2 linked regions of the Arabidopsis thaliana genome follow. The protein of the gene in region 1 interacts with the protein of each later gene in a pairwise test. Each region holds a gene or a part of one and is shown on either strand. Other genes may lie near its edges.

Region 1 (8,152 bases):
CATCATGTAAGTAATTAAAAGTGAGGCTTTTAAAATGTTTATATGATAATCTTACTTACCTTCACCAATAAATTCTTCATCCCATTGAATCACAGGTCTGATCGGAATTCCACTACCAATAAGCATCATCTCATCTGCTTTCTTTCCATCTTCGACTGTCACATCCATTACTTTCACAGTTTTAAGAATCCCCTTGCTTACAAGCTGTTCAGCGAGTGTAAGTGTTCTCTTTGCTGTACATCCGCTCAAAACGTTATCAAACCGCGGCATCACAAGCTCCTTACCACCATTAACAACAAACGCCACATTCATGTTCGGGCCTTCTGCAATAAACCCATCTTTACACACCCAAATACCTGCATAAGCTCCTTTGGCCTCAGCTTCCATTTGTGAGAGTACGTTAGGGAGGTAGTTAACACTTTTCACCGTGGCAAACTCTGGAGGCTTTATGGGGATGGACGAGGTCACTACCTTGACACCTATTGGGTTAATGGCGAAGTTCGTTTTTATAACAATGGCATAGAGAGTTGGTTTGAGACATTGAGATGGAGATAGGAGGAAATCCCCTGGCCCTGCAGAGAGCCAGTATCTTAGAGATCCATCTCTACATCCAGAAACGCTCACGGTTTGAATGAGAATTCTTTTAATAGTTTCTCGATCGAATGGAAGTGGGATCTTAGCCATTGATGCAGATCGCAAGATACGGTCAAGGTGCTGATCCAATTCATAAAGGTATCTGCTTATTCGTAGGACAACAAGCGAAGCTCAGATGATTGAGTAATAAGACAAATTAGAAAAGGGGGCTACTATTTAAAGTGACTAACCCATTGATGATCAGGGCAGTGTCAAAGACTCCATGACCACGGTGAACCATGTGATCATCCAATGGAAGAACCATCGCTGCTGGATCGGTTGTAATTCCATCAACAACACTTGAGTACATGGCCAAGAACTGTTGTCCTCCTCTTGCTAGTTTTAGCCTCTCACCAACCTTTTAAACCAAACATACTTCACTGATACTCAATCAATCAACGCCTCTAAACATAAACGGATAACAAACAAATGTCGCAATCCTTCATTACGGGCTGCATCTATAATTTCATTGACAAAACACAGAAATGTCTGGTGGTTGTGTCAATAAACATCTCTAGCTAACAAATTGTGAACAGTTTCAAGAGTTAAAGATATGATTGATAAGTACAGACATAAAAGAGAAACCATAATTACCTCATAGCTAGATAAAACAGGAACATTCCACGACTGAGAGCTTGAATCTGTGGAGAAACGAATGCAGATTTTTGTCATCAATTCCAGAACACTTATGGAATTTAACGATCAACAAATTGATCTCTTTTTTAGGGTAATAAGTGTACATTACCCTAAAAAGATTATAATAAATGCATCACCAATCACAATCCAGAAGAAAAATCAGAAAAGAGAGAACACAAGGTAGAAATGTCGAACCAGAACACATGAGAATCGTTCTTCTTCGTGTCAACCGACGCGGGAATCGAAAGCCATGTCTTAAAGGACATGGAACTTGAGAGAGAGACCTGAGATTCCAAGTGTTAACTGTAAACTCCAGCGACAAACCTGCCATGGGGTTTGGGACTCAAAAGAATAGAGAGAGAGAGATCATTCGGAAATAGCAACTTGCTTTGCATTATTATTATCTCAGTCGTGAACTGGAAGAAGACGAAAAAATATTTGGGCCTAACTTCACCACAAAAATAAAATAAAGTTATTCGGCCCATAAGCCCAATATGACTTTTCGCATTGTATTTTAATATTCAATCAATCAAAAATAAAAGCCTAAAACAAAACAAACCCTCTCTGTCTTTTAGTGGGTTTTGTACGACGCCTAATCGATGTTAGTATTATATCTGTAGCCAAACAAGCCACCAAAGTGGTATTTTTCTTCTTCCTTCCTTACCTTGTAGGGCTCTGAGCTCGAGTTATAAAAAAGCCAACTTTGATTTCTTTGCCAGTATTTCATCCTTAATCCATTCTTGTGGTCACTTTTTCGTCCTTAACCCATCTAGGTAAGTCGATTTCATTGTTTGTTATTTGAGTCAGTAATTTTTGAAAATCTTTGCTTTTTTTTCTTTTCTTTTGAATATCAAAAGAAGAAAAGATTTGGGGGATAACTAGATCATCTCTTTAGTTAAATTGACTCTTTGAGGTGTGTCAATTGTCACTGATAGTCTGATTAATCTTTTATTGGCATCTTAGAACAGATTTTGATTCTAAAGTCTTGTGAATCGGCAGCGGAAGAAGAGTGAATTGTTCATCCTTATCTTGCCATGGTAAACATTCTACTTCTTTTGTTCACTTTGATGGGTTTGATTGTTCTTAGTATATTCAATCCTTTGCTTATTTGACGGGAAGTAGAGATGTTTTTGGAATGAGAACATCTTTTCCCTTCTTAATTCCAGCTTCCTGATCACATTTATTACTGTTCTTCTTGGAGTAATAAAAGTTGAGATACTTTTGTCTTGCAATAATTTTGCTTTAATCAATCGAACAAGTTAGATTTTGGCCATATTGGTTGTAGTATTGATTAGTCTTGTGTAATATTGTTTGCAGGCTATGTATATTCGTGTGAAGCGCATGAAAACTACTTACTTTATCCAATGTGATCCAACAGAGACTGTTTTGGATGTTAAGCAAAAACTGTTTGCTCTCATTGAGCAACCAGTTAACAATCAGCGTCTGGTCTTAATGTCTACCGAAGAAGTATTAGAGGATTCGAAATCCTTAGCAGATCAGAAGGTATCACACGTTTGACTATCTAATATATTTATCTTTTGAGTCATTGCTCAAGTTTAAAAGAAGAACTTGGTCACATAGCCACTGCCTCCGTTTGCGTGTATTTGAAAGTTATAAGCTTGTCACCATCTTCTTTTTTGGTTGTTCAGGTTGAGAATGATGCAGTTGTGGCTTTGACTTTGAAGAAAGGTTATACCTTAGATCCTCTTATTCTGAAATTTTCAATTCCTTGTTGAAATGTCGTAATGGATCATGCATCTTGGTTAATTACTTATCACACTTCATCTTTCTATATGTTATTTGGTATATGAACCCTTCAAACTCCATTGACTTCAATTGAGCCTGTTATTGTGAATCTTAGTTATTTTGTTATCACTGGATAATCTTTTGGTATGTTTAAGAGTCTTGCCTAACTTTTGTGACCGTGATATAGCTGAATGTGATTCCTAATCTTATTATTCTTTTAGCCTTGTTTCGATTACACAACTGTTGAGGATGCTGTATTGCATTCTGAATCTATACAGCTATGAACGGCATAATGATTGCATTGCATCTCTTTTTTCCATGTGCAGATGATAACGAGTTTGAGGATGTCAACATTGCACAGCCCACCGACTTCTCACTTTCATGAAGAGTTGCTTACTGTATCAAGGAAACTTCAGGAGAAGGTATTGATTCAAAACACAAGGAGGAGTCTATAAACGCCAGAAGTTGTTTCTTTTGCGTCTCTGCTTGTGTTAACGCCTCTTTAGTTTGTTACAGACAATTGTTGTAAGTAAAGATATTGAGATGTGGAAGTTTGATTGCAACTTGCCAGATTAGTAGTTTTTACAGTCTCTTAATATGTTTACAATGAGCTAGAGGTGCAGCTAACACGAGCCGAGGAAGCTCCATTATTACCATTTGACATTGTTCATTGACGGAAAACCCAATGAGGGTGACAAAATAAAGAGACAAAAAAACAAAATGAAAGGACATAACTGTAATCTTAACGGAAAAAAACGTTAAGGCTATAAGTGTGTCTGGTTCGGGAAAAAGAGAGGAAAAAAACCCTAATAAAGAGAAGGGATTGTGTCTCCTTCTCGACTTCTTCTTCTTCTTCTCATTTCTCAATCTCAACTTTTCTCTTCTCTTCTCTTCTTCGCTAACGGCAGGAGAGAGAGAGACCCAGAAATCCGATCCCTCCTCTCCTTGGATTATCGGAGTCAGCGATTCATCGTCGCTGATAAAGCTTCTACCTTTCTCTTCGATTTTTGTTGTGAGATTCGATTCGATCTTAAGGCGGATTAGATCGAGGTATGCAGCAAGGCGATCAAACGGTTCTGAGCTTGAGACCTGGTGGCGGTCGAGGAAACAGACTATTTGGTTCCTCTTCTTCTTCTTCGTCTCTCTCTTTTGGCTCTCTTTCATCTTCGGATCTACCTCTCCTTCGTCCTCATGGTGGTGCTCCTGCTTCCTCTTTTCCCTTCAAGGTACCCTCATTTCTGGGTCCCCTCTCTAAATTTGGATCTAACTCCCTCTTCTTCCTCTGATTTAGAATTTGTTTTATCTCTCTTGTCTTAGCTTGAGCTAAAAATTTATCCTTTTTTACGGGTTTGTCGCAATCAGCAGCCTTTTTGTTTGGAATTATAATCTTTGGTATATTGCTGATTTGATTCTCTCAAATGTCTGAATTGGCTAATATCTTTCTGATTTGCGAGTTTTAATGCTTTGTGTTTGTAATAACTACTGAGCTCATGTTGGATTTTGATAGGTGTCTGCAACATACATAATTGAACTTCATAGGTTTATATGTCAATACGAGTAATGCAAGCAGTTTGTTTGTCCTGATTCTTAGTGGCGCACGCAAGTATGTGTTTCTGCTGTAAATATGGACGTATAATGATATGTAGGCTTTTAGGTGGGCATTTTGTTAGCTGCTATTTGCTCATAAAGGACCTACTGACATTTCTTCTAGTTTTTCTTTAGTTCATCACTCATTTCGGCCTTATGGTTAAAGAATTATTCCTCTCTTTCTTTTGTACTGAGTACTCGTGGTTCCTTGTCTCCTTTATACGTTATTTCTTATATGATTTTGTGTATTGGGTGTTAGTTAATGAAGATTTATCCTGGGTTGTGCTTTTGTTTCAGGGTGGAGACTCGAGGTTCGATGGCCGTGAACGTGTGAAGTACACCCGTGAGCAGCTCCTGGAGCTTAAAGAGGTGATTATCCCAGTTAAATAATATAGGATTAAAGCCGGTTTAGTTTCTGCTGTTCGTATTTGTTCTTCCTTAGTTGAGGTCATTGACGTCTGTGCATATATACAGACCACTCAACTCTCTGATGAAATTCTGAGAGTCCAACGGGAAACTGCAGCTGAACTGTTTGGTGAGGAAGGGACTTGGGCACGTGGAGAAAGTGTCGTAAGCAATTTGGTATAGTTTTGTTGAAACATAAATTTTGCATTTTGGTATAGTTTCATGAAGTTTCACTTTTAACACATATCTTTTATTTTAATGGTTCAGGTTCCCGTTCAATCCGCAAGTCGCTTCTCTGAGCCAGACTCTCGTGATTGGCGTAGCCGTTCTACTCAACCTCCACCCTCTGGGGAGGAAAGGTCGTGGGATAATCTTCGTGAAGCTAAAGATTCCAGGTATGTTGAAGCAAGTCAATATAATCGTCAAGACCAACCTAATTCCCAGTTTTCAAGGGCAAACATATCATCCAACCAAGGGGTAATTGATCAATAGATGAATGTTTTTCCCTCTTCTTAGCCCTTTACATTCTGGCATGATTTCTTATTTTTCTTACTTATTTGTATATCGTGTGGAACCAGGGTGGACCAGCTCCTGTCCTCGTCAAAGCCGAAGTTCCTTGGTCAGCTAGAAGAGGAAACCTTTCTGAAAATGATCGTGTTCTGAAGACTGTGAAAGGGTAATGCCGTTGTGACAGTTATTAGTTGTCTAGACTTTTGTATAACTTTCCTTTACTGCCAACATGAAATCTTTAAAATAGACTATGCACACTTACAAAGATATACTTTTCTTGTCCAGGATACTGAACAAGCTAACCCCTGAAAAGTATGACCTTCTCAAGGGCCAACTTATTGAATCTGGCATCACATCTGCTGATATCCTGAAGGTGTATGCTATGTCTCAAGCATAGATGAAGTCTTGTTTGAATCATCTAGGCTGTTTGTGTGGCTAACCCGTGTTCTTTTCTTTCATTTGTAGGGTGTGATTACCCTTATTTTTGACAAAGCTGTCCTTGAGCCGACCTTTTGCCCTATGTATGCAAAATTGTGCTCTGATATCAACGACCAGCTGCCCACCTTCCCACCTGCAGAGCCTGGGGATAAGGAGATTACATTTAAGAGGGTTCTACTGAATATCTGTCAAGAGGCATTTGAGGGCGCTTCTCAGTTGAGGGAGGAGCTTAGACAGATGAGTGCTCCAGATCAGGAGGCTGAGCGGAATGACAAAGAAAAATTGTTGAAGCTCAAGACTCTAGGAAATATTCGTTTGATTGGTGAGCTTTTGAAGCAGAAGATGGTCCCAGAAAAGATTGTTCATCACATTGTTCAGGTTAACACCTATAAGCTTACACATTTTCTTAGACTTCTTTTATTTTGGTATCTAGCATTAACCTTTCTTAATTTGTTCTGTGCACAGGAGCTTCTGGGGGCCGATGAGAAAGTTTGTCCAGCCGAGGAAAATGTCGAAGCTATTTGTCATTTCTTCAAAACTATTGGCAAACAACTTGACGGAAACGTGAAGTCAAAACGGATTAATGATGTATATTTCAAACGCCTACAGGCTCTGTCAAAGAATCCTCAGTTGGAACTGCGTCTGAGATTCATGGTTCAGAATATCATCGACATGCGCTCCAATGGCTGGGTTCCAAGGCGGGAAGAGGTATTCTAGGTTTTACAAGGTTGAGACTTGTTTCCTGCTCCATTGTGTAGTGATTCTAATGTTCTATTTACATTACTCGTGCAGATGAAAGCAAGAACTATAACCGAAATACATACTGAGGCAGAGAAGAATCTTGGTCTCCGACCAGGTGCCACTGCAAATATGAGAAGGGGTATGGTTTCTAGTGGTGGGCCTGTGAGCCCTGGCCCTGTCTACCCTGGTGGGCGACCTGGTGCGGGTGGCTTGATGCCTGGTATGCCTGGGACGCGAAGGATGCCTGGGATGCCCGGAGTGGACAATGATAACTGGGAGGTACCCCGGACAAGATCAATGTCTAGACGCGATGGGCCAGGACCTCTACATTCTCCAGCAGTGAGCAAGTCGGCCTCAATGAACACGAGGCTCTTACCTCAAGGCAGCAGTGGCATTATGAGTGGCAAGACAAGCGCACTGTTGCAGGGAAGTGGTTCAGTGTCGCGTCCAGTTACCGTGTCAGCAGAACGGCCAGCACAGTCAGTTGCACCTCTGACCGTACCAGTTCCGGTGGAGAAACCACAGCCTAGTGGTCCCAAGTTGAGCGAAGAAGTGCTCCAAAGAAAAACAAAGTCGCTTCTCGAGGAATATTTCAATGTCCGACTACTTGGTGAAGCTCTGCAGTGTGTAGAGGAGCTTGGTTTGCCGTCATATCACCCAGAGTTTGTGAAGGAAGCAATATCCCTGTCTCTTGAGAAAAGCCCGCCTGTCGTTGAGCCAATTGCTACACTCTTGGAGTATTTGTTATCAAAGAAGGTAGTCGCACCCAAGGATCTTGAAACTGGGTTCTTGCTCTACGGTGCTATGTTGGACGACATTGGAATTGATCTTCCTAAGGCACCAAACAATTTTGGTGAGATTGTGGGAAAGCTGATTCTGGCTGGTGGTGTGGATTTCAAATTGGTTAGAGAAATTATAGGGAAGATGGAAGACGATAGGTTCCAGAAGATGGTGGTCGATGCAGCTGTACGCATTGTGGAGTCAAGCGAGCAGGGGAAGTCCTTGTTGGCCTCACAGGCTGCAGACATAGAGGCTTGTCGGAATCTGTAAAAGGAATCATTACTTGACGATTTTGCTCTCTCTGGGTCTTATGCTTGTGCGATGAATGTTGTGTTGTAAGCTTGAAGGAGGAGGAGAAAAGGATTCTCAGAACTCAAAAATAGTTTTGCTCTTCGTTGAAGCTTTTTCTTATGACATTATTCTCACCACTCTTCTTTGTGGGCATGAGTCCATGTCCTTTTTTGTATTCTTCTGTGACTTGTCTTTTTTTGACCTTTGCATTTTTGTTTTACGGTCTCAGTTATTATATTCAGTTGATTGTTGTTGAGACTTGAGACCCCTATAAACTGGTCGGTTCAGATAATTACATTGGAAATGTTTGATCATCGTCTTCCTATTATTCCTATCTGATTCTGAGCTAACATTAGTTGAGTAAATGATTCATTCGACCTTAAGC
Region 2 (7,661 bases), on another chromosome or scaffold:
ATCATCTCAAGAGCCATCTCCAGGTGTATATACCTTCTTCCTCAGTTTCCTCTTCTTTAATTTTTTTGTTATTAGCTTCTTTTATAATCTTGCCGTAGTAATTAGGATTTAAAACATATACTGTATGTGTGTTTCAACTACAGAAGTTCAGACTTGGGAAGCAGCCTCACAAGGAGCATAGTCAAAATCACTCCATTTGTATTAGAGATACAAATAGAGGTCTGTCATAAACTTAATTATTAATTCATATATACATTGGTTAATTAATTCATCTGTGACTATGCCATGAATATATGTTAATTAATAAACATCATGCATGCAGCTTCCATGTTGGATCTTCGAAGGAATGCTGTTTTCACGACTAGTCCGCTCATCATTGGTCGCAATATGAACGAGTATGTGCCTTCAATTCCAAATCCTAACTATATATTGATTCATATATAAATAGATATATTACTCAAAATTTTATAATATAAAAATGGTAATTATGGATGGTAATGAAGGATGCAAATGGAGGTGCAAAGAAGGATAGAGGAAGAGGTAGTAATAGAAAGACAGGTGAATCAAAGGATAGCGGCACAAGGGAAATACATGGAGAGCATGTTAGAGAAAGCATGTGAAACCCAAGAAGCAAGCCTCACTAAAGACTACTCTACTCTATTTTTCGACCGCACCAATATTTGTAACAACACATCGTCCATCCCAATCCCATGGTTCGAGGATCATTTTCCTTCCTCTTCCTCCATGGACTCTACGTTGATTCTCCCCGACATCAATTCCAACTTCTCCCTACAAGATTCTAGGAGTTCCATCACTAAGGGCCGTACGGTTTGTCTCGGTTAGAGAAGAGATATATCAAATATAGATCTAGCTACTTGACTCTTTCTTCTCTAGTTTCTAATGCGCACTTGGTGTATAAAATTATGCACAAAATTACTTGTAATAACTTATGCCAAACATATGAAGTCTTCGTTATTCCCTTGATCTATATATGCGATGATGTGGAACGTATGCTGCCTCATGATTATCACAACTCTTGTGTTTTGTTATATATGTGTTCACTTGCACAATGATACATATATTTTACTCAATTTGGACAATTCTATAGTTCTAAATTCGATCCTAGTTCTCACAACCTGATTTCTTGTTTTTTGTTCTTCGGATGGTTTTGTTTTTTCTAGAAGCCCATGATATATGAATTTATATATTTTAAAGTCACATCCATTTACATGCAAAATCTCTCCGGTCAATTTTTGTTTATAAAAGTTTATATGCACAATTATAACCGATCAATCTTGCGTCTTTCTATCTAGTCACTTTTCTAGCCATCATCACCACCCACCGATACTGGCCTGTTCATCTCCAGTAGTCTTAAATAGAATATCACTGCAGTACTTGCAGGCTTTTGTGAAAATTTTGCCATTTCATGGAATTATGGAAAATTTGAATTTATCCATGTGCATTCTAATAATTCTGTACTAGTCCGATAATTGAAATTAGGGCCGAAAGCCTAAAACTAGAAAAGCCCATTCCTATATCAGGTCCCCCCCCCCCCCCCCCTCCTTAAATGGTCAAAAACTCGAATTATATTTGAGGGTTCATAGACCTGTAAACCAGCTAGAGAGAGTCTGGTAATGTTGTATTCTCAAGTCTTAAGTATGTCGGTTGACGAGTCAATGGAAGTCTTATGGATCCGAAACGGTCAAAAATGGATGTAATTTTTTAATCTTTTGTAAGGACTGCGCTGGTACATAACTTAAAGATAAGATTGGACGATGGAGTAAATATGTTGTTTGTTTTCTCTCACACTTCATCAGTTTTCAGATCTTTGTTATTATTCGTTGTTGCTCACCTTTTATTTCTAACAAAAATAAGTTAATGTAATTACATTTACATGTCTCATTTTTACTTTTAACATCATATACAAGTTCATCATATACTACCTTTTAAGCTGAAATATAATTACAAACAAAATAAGGAGTCTTAATTTTTTGTTTTAAAAACAGATCACAATGATGTAATGTTGAAAAATGTAAATTAATCTGCTACGTCAAACTAAACGTTGGTAATTACACACAATGACACAAAATAAGTAAAAACAATCCAGATCACAAATGCTGTAATGTTGATCACGTTGAAAAATGTAAATTAAACTGCTACGCTAAACTAAACATTTGGTAAGTAAATTAGAAATTTTGTACAAAGAAAGACAACACCAAAAGAGCTACGTAGTATATATAGAGCTTCTTATTTACTACTCCGACATTTAAATCACGTACGTGTCTTTTGCAACTCATGAATCATGATAAGTGATTACCCAGTTATTATAGCTTTTCACGAAAATGAATTGTGTTACATCATTCTGACTTCATGATGTCAAATTAATACCAGAATGGCCCAAAATTTGCCTCTTATTTCTTTAATTTTAGAATTTTTAAACAAAAAGATTACCAAGTGGTCTAATTCCATCAGTTTACTCAGGGTTAGGGTTTATCAATATTTAATTGCAAGAAAAAAGACTGAAAGAGAGGACTACGTTATATTAATGGAAACCTAGAACAAGTGTATAGTTAAATATACGAAGCTTCATCTACACAAAGATTTTTACATATACGGTAATTAACAGCGACGTCTTTATATTATTATGTTAATTAACCGCTTTCTCCCTACCCATTAGTTTATTCTTACGTTTAACTTGACGGGTTCAAATAAACGTTGCGTTGTACACCTATCTCTCTCTTTATCTATTAAGCTTGACGCGTACGTGGCTTACTTAAGAGGACATGTTATTCGGAAGTTCCAGGGAAAGATCCAATTTACTAGTAGTTGAGATTAGGTCGGAATTTTTATGCAATCGTGCTCCCTACTTTACCTCTAATTTTAACTAATTTGTTAGTAAATGAAAACGTATTTACGGATGGCAATACTATTTATGATTCCAAATATCCAAAATTGAGTGCTCATTCGCTTCTACGACTGTTCAACAAGCTAACACATTTGCAGAAAAGTCTCCCATGATGACGATAAAAGTAGCAGACTGGGACAAAAATTTATGAGCATATATAAGTACAAGTTATACGTGAAGGGGTAGTAAAACCCAACGAGTCATTCTACTATTTTCTTACCAATGATCCGAAATATTTGTGAAGTCTAGTAGACAACAAGTAATGAGTGAAACAGAAACTAAAAACTAGTAATGAGTGTCCTGGTTAAAGCATACATATATAAGATCATTAAACCATTGCATTAAACTAAACTGATAATTATAGGATTTTAAGCATGCAATGTATGACAATAACTAGAAACACAAGTTAACGAGATACATAGATGATTTTGTTAAGGAAAGTGACGTGAACTACTGGTGTCTCTAATCAGGCTTCCATTTGAAGACACACAGAGAAAAAAAGAGAAACGACACAAGTTTGGTTAATCATATATAGTAGATTAATTCTCCCAAGAAAGATATTAGTACTGATCAGGGAAAATACATCAAATAGTGACCACCCTGCTGGTTAATCAACACCAAGAGACCTTGTAATATATAAGTTAGGAAGATGAGAGAGAAGTGGGAAATGAAAAGAGATGAAATGGGACATCGATGTTGTGGAAAACACAAAGTGAAGAGAGGTCTTTGGTCTCCAGAGGAAGACGAGAAGCTTCTTCGTTATATCACCACTCATGGTCATCCTAGTTGGAGTTCCGTTCCAAAGCTTGCCGGTTTTGTATCTTCTATCTCTACTTCCCTTTTCTTTTTACTATTTTTTGTTCATGAGTCTAAACATACAACATGTGAAAAAATAATAGTCTTTCAATTCAAAACTAATTAGCAATGAGTGAATTAGCCTATGTTTTTTATATACTATATGCTCGATGTGGATTAATCCTAACAGTATCTATATGTGTGTATAGGGTTGCAGAGATGTGGGAAGAGTTGCAGATTAAGGTGGATAAACTATCTAAGGCCTGATCTGAGGAGAGGTTCGTTTAATGAGGAAGAAGAGCAGATTATCATCGACGTACATCGTATTCTTGGTAACAAATGGGCTCAGATTGCTAAGCACTTACCTGGACGCACTGATAATGAAGTCAAGAACTTTTGGAACTCATGCATTAAGAAGAAACTTCTTTCTCAAGGCTTAGATCCTTCTACACATAATCTTATGCCTTCACACAAAAGATCTTCTTCTTCAAACAATAATAATATCCCCAAGCCAAACAAAACGACGTCCATCATGAAGAACCCTACTGATCTTGATCAATCAACCACTGCTTTTTCAATCACAAACATCAATCCACCCACTTCCACTAAACCAAACAAACTTAAATCTCCTAACCAGACTACAATCCCATCTCAAACCGTGATCCCTATCAATGATAACATGTCAAGTACTCAAACCATGATCCCTATCAATGATCCCATGTCAAGTCTTTTAGATGATGAGAATATGATTCCTCACTGGTCAGATGTTGATGGAATGGCGATCCACGAAGCTCCGATGTTGCCTAGTGATAAGGCAGTAGTGGGAGTGGATGATGATGATCTCAACATGGACATTTTGTTTAACACTCCTTCTTCTTCTGCTTTTGATCCTGATTTTGCTTCCATTTTCTCCTCTGCAATGTCTATCGATTTCAATCCCATGGATGATCTTGGCAGCTGGACCTTTTAGCTTTTACTCTACAATATTTTCATTTTCTCAAGTGTATATATATGAATAATTGCCACTTTCTGCTTTTCACTAGTTTTGAAAAGCTGAGAATTTTCCAAATCAGTGTCTCATTTTTTTCTCCATCAATCCCACTAAGACTTTGTTATGTGCAAATTGAAATTTTCACCATCTAATAAAGGCTTTTTGGCTAATCTATACTTGCACCGCCCATATTAACATGCGCCTAAATGGGCTATGTTAATTGTAAATATGGGTGTGAGATTCAACCAATAAAGAAAGTAGCCCACTAGAGGCCCAATAGATTCAATAAGTGTCTTGCGTTCGCGCGCTATGATTGATGAGAGACTACACGGCGGTATTCCATTGAAATAATAATGCTAGTTTTTAATGAAACTTCGTGGGAAGAGCGAAGGCAAAGAGGGAACATGTTACATTGCCACACCACATTCTTCTAATTAAATTGCGGGCGTACACTTGTACATGAATATGCATACAGGTGTTGAAAAGGTCAAATTATAGTAATCAGAAGAAAAGATTCACAAAATGGGAATCCAATTATTACGTCCCGCGTTTGATTGAAATGAACAATACGGATGAAGCAAACATAATAATCTCATGAATATTGAAATGATTGAGGAGCAAGCAACACGAAGACCGACACCGAGGCACAGTAGATCGAGAATAAAGGACATGTATTAAGTAGTGTTTATTATTATAGTATTGGTAATAATGTATATACAAGATAAGTGGAACCACATGGTCTGTCTCCTTATCTTCATCGTAAACACTTTAGTTACTTAGGATTTGGTCCTTTAATTTCATCAAGTTCACCACAATTTCTCTTCTACTTCTTTCGACCTACATGTATAAATAATGTTAACATTTGCATTTCATAGAAAATCTAATTGTACATGAAGAGATAGATTATATATGGAAAGTAAATGAAACGAGAACGACAGTAGATGCGGTGACATACAATTGAAAGAAAAATACTTGAATAAGTTGTTGACTAAAATACTAATATACAGTTATTCTTGTATATAACAGAATTGCCTTTGGAAAATATGGGTTTAATGTTTGATTAAAAATCTCACAAAACAAAAAAATTGCTGCTAAAAAAATCACATAATATCGGATACCAACCATAATTTTTAAATATGACAAATATAAGAAAGCAGCCTAAAATGATACAAGAAAGAATATCGAAGTACCAAAAGAAAAGTAAACACAAATAGTTAGGGGAAGACTTAAAGGTCACATGGGATGATTTGGTGGCATCATTGCATCAAATCCTGCACATGCTCTGCTTCTTCTCTTTTCTATATTCCTTCTCTCTTTTTATTTTGTTGTTACTTGTTGTCAATACTAATACAAAATTTATCCACACGGTTTTATTTTTAGAATAATGTTCACATATTATTATTACGAGTATATAACTACCTTTCAATTCTCTCTGCCTCTCATAGTTAATATATATACGTTCACAATCACTTCTCTTCTCTATTTCTTATTCATTATCTCAACCCTCTCTCTCTCTCTCTCAGTACAACTTATCATCCATCACCATATATAGAGAATATGAGCAAAACGGAAGCAATCAGCTTGACCAAAAGGGGAATGTTGCCGCCAAGTAGTTGCAATAGCCTAATGGACCGCTCTGAGTCCCTTAAGAGGGACAGTGTGATGGGCAATGGTGCAGCCAAAGTGAGAGGAAGCTTGGAGCGCAAGAAATCAAAGAGTTTTAAGGAAGGAGATAGTTATTCTTCGTGGCTCATAACGGAGGCTCCTGGGAGTATAGCCGCCGTGAGGAGAGAGCAAGTGGCGGCACAACAAGCACTAAGGAAACTAAAGATTGCTCATTACGGTAGATCCAAATCAACCATTAATTTCACTTCTTCCAAAGTCGTCCCTCTTCTTAACCCTAACCCTAACCCTCATCCTCAGAGATGCAGCTTCCTCACCCCCACTTCTGGTATAAACCTATTTCTCTCTTTATTACTTGTTTGTTTTCCGGTTAATGTTAGTTAATTTCACTTATGAACTGATTTTATTAAGTTTCACCCTCTTAATTTCCATTTTGGTATTGTTTGAATCAGCTTAAACCCCTTGTATATTATTTTAAGTTTTCTTTGTAACTTTAGGTTCCATCTTATAAAATACTTGGATTCCTAACTGATTTGTTTGGTTACCTTTAGATCCTATTTACGTGGCCTACCATGATGAAGAATGGGGAGTTCCAGTTCATGATGACAAGTGCGTGACATAATTAATACTTCTTTCCAAATGAAAACGTCATTGTACATTAGTTCATTTTGTTCAAAATTAAATTAGTTATGTTAAATTTTCAGGACGTTGTTCGAACTGCTGACCCTAAGCGGCGCACAAGTAGGCTCCGATTGGACTTCAACCTTGAGAAAACGCCATGACTATAGGAAGGCCTTTATGGAGTTTGAGGCGGAAGTGGTTGCCAAACTCACCGAGAAAGAGATGAATGCAATAAGCATCGAATACAAGATAGAGATGAGCAAAGTGAGAGGTGTTGTGGAAAACGCTAAAAAGATCGTAGAGATCAAGAAAGCGTTTGTGTCATTAGAGAAATACCTTTGGGGATTTGTGAACCACAAACCAATCTCCACGAACTACAAGCTTGGACACAAGATTCCGGTCAAGACATCGAAGTCGGAGAGCATCAGCAAAGACATGGTTCGTCGAGGCTTCCGGTTCGTGGGTCCCACTGTGGTTCACTCATTCATGCAAGCCGCTGGTCTTACAAACGACCACTTGATCACTTGCTGTCGCCACGCTCCTTGCACTCTCCTTGCAACCAATCCCTAATTATTAATTTTTAATTTAATTGAAAGTGGTGTTTTTATTTAACTTTCGAGTGCAAAATGTAGGTTTAGGAGAAAAGAGATTGCAGTTTTTTAAAATTGGCAATGTAAGATAAACCAGCTGGTTTGATTTTTTTCTTGTGTGTGAGGTGTTTAAAAT

The links.
Region 2: the proteins of AT5G57860 (region 1) and MYB67 interact in a two-hybrid assay, tested with the Arabidopsis thaliana proteins (2 studies listed by BioGRID).

The regions. Positions count from the first base shown.
Region 1 is NC_003076.8:23,435,688-23,443,839, forward strand, and holds AT5G57860 (Ubiquitin-like superfamily protein), read left to right. Parts: upstream 1-1,866; 5' UTR 1,867-2,042; intron 2,043-2,232; exon of another isoform or gene 2,233-2,268; 5' UTR 2,269-2,303; coding exon 2,304-2,306; intron 2,307-2,586; coding exon 2,587-2,772; coding exon of another isoform or gene 2,773-2,787; exon of another isoform or gene 2,788-2,918; coding exon 2,919-2,958; intron 2,959-3,341; coding exon 3,342-3,400; 3' UTR 3,401-3,716; downstream 3,717-8,152. Other genes in the region: ADCL (D-aminoacid aminotransferase-like PLP-dependent enzymes superfamily protein), read right to left, coding at 60-736, 825-991, 1,228-1,274, 1,465-1,600; eIFiso4G1 (MIF4G domain-containing protein / MA3 domain-containing protein), read left to right, coding at 4,068-4,241, 4,900-4,971, 5,077-5,184, 5,275-5,484, 5,586-5,683, 5,803-5,890, 5,983-6,333, 6,421-6,663 and 1 more.
Region 2 is NC_003074.8:4,040,416-4,048,076, reverse strand, and holds MYB67 (myb domain protein 67), read left to right. Parts: upstream 1-3,361; 5' UTR 3,362-3,554; coding exon 3,555-3,717; intron 3,718-3,909; coding exon 3,910-4,670; 3' UTR 4,671-4,789; downstream 4,790-7,661. Other genes in the region: AT3G12730 (Homeodomain-like superfamily protein), read left to right, coding at 1-23, 144-219, 323-395, 504-843; AT3G12710 (DNA glycosylase superfamily protein), read left to right, coding at 6,249-6,642, 6,866-6,923, 7,019-7,505.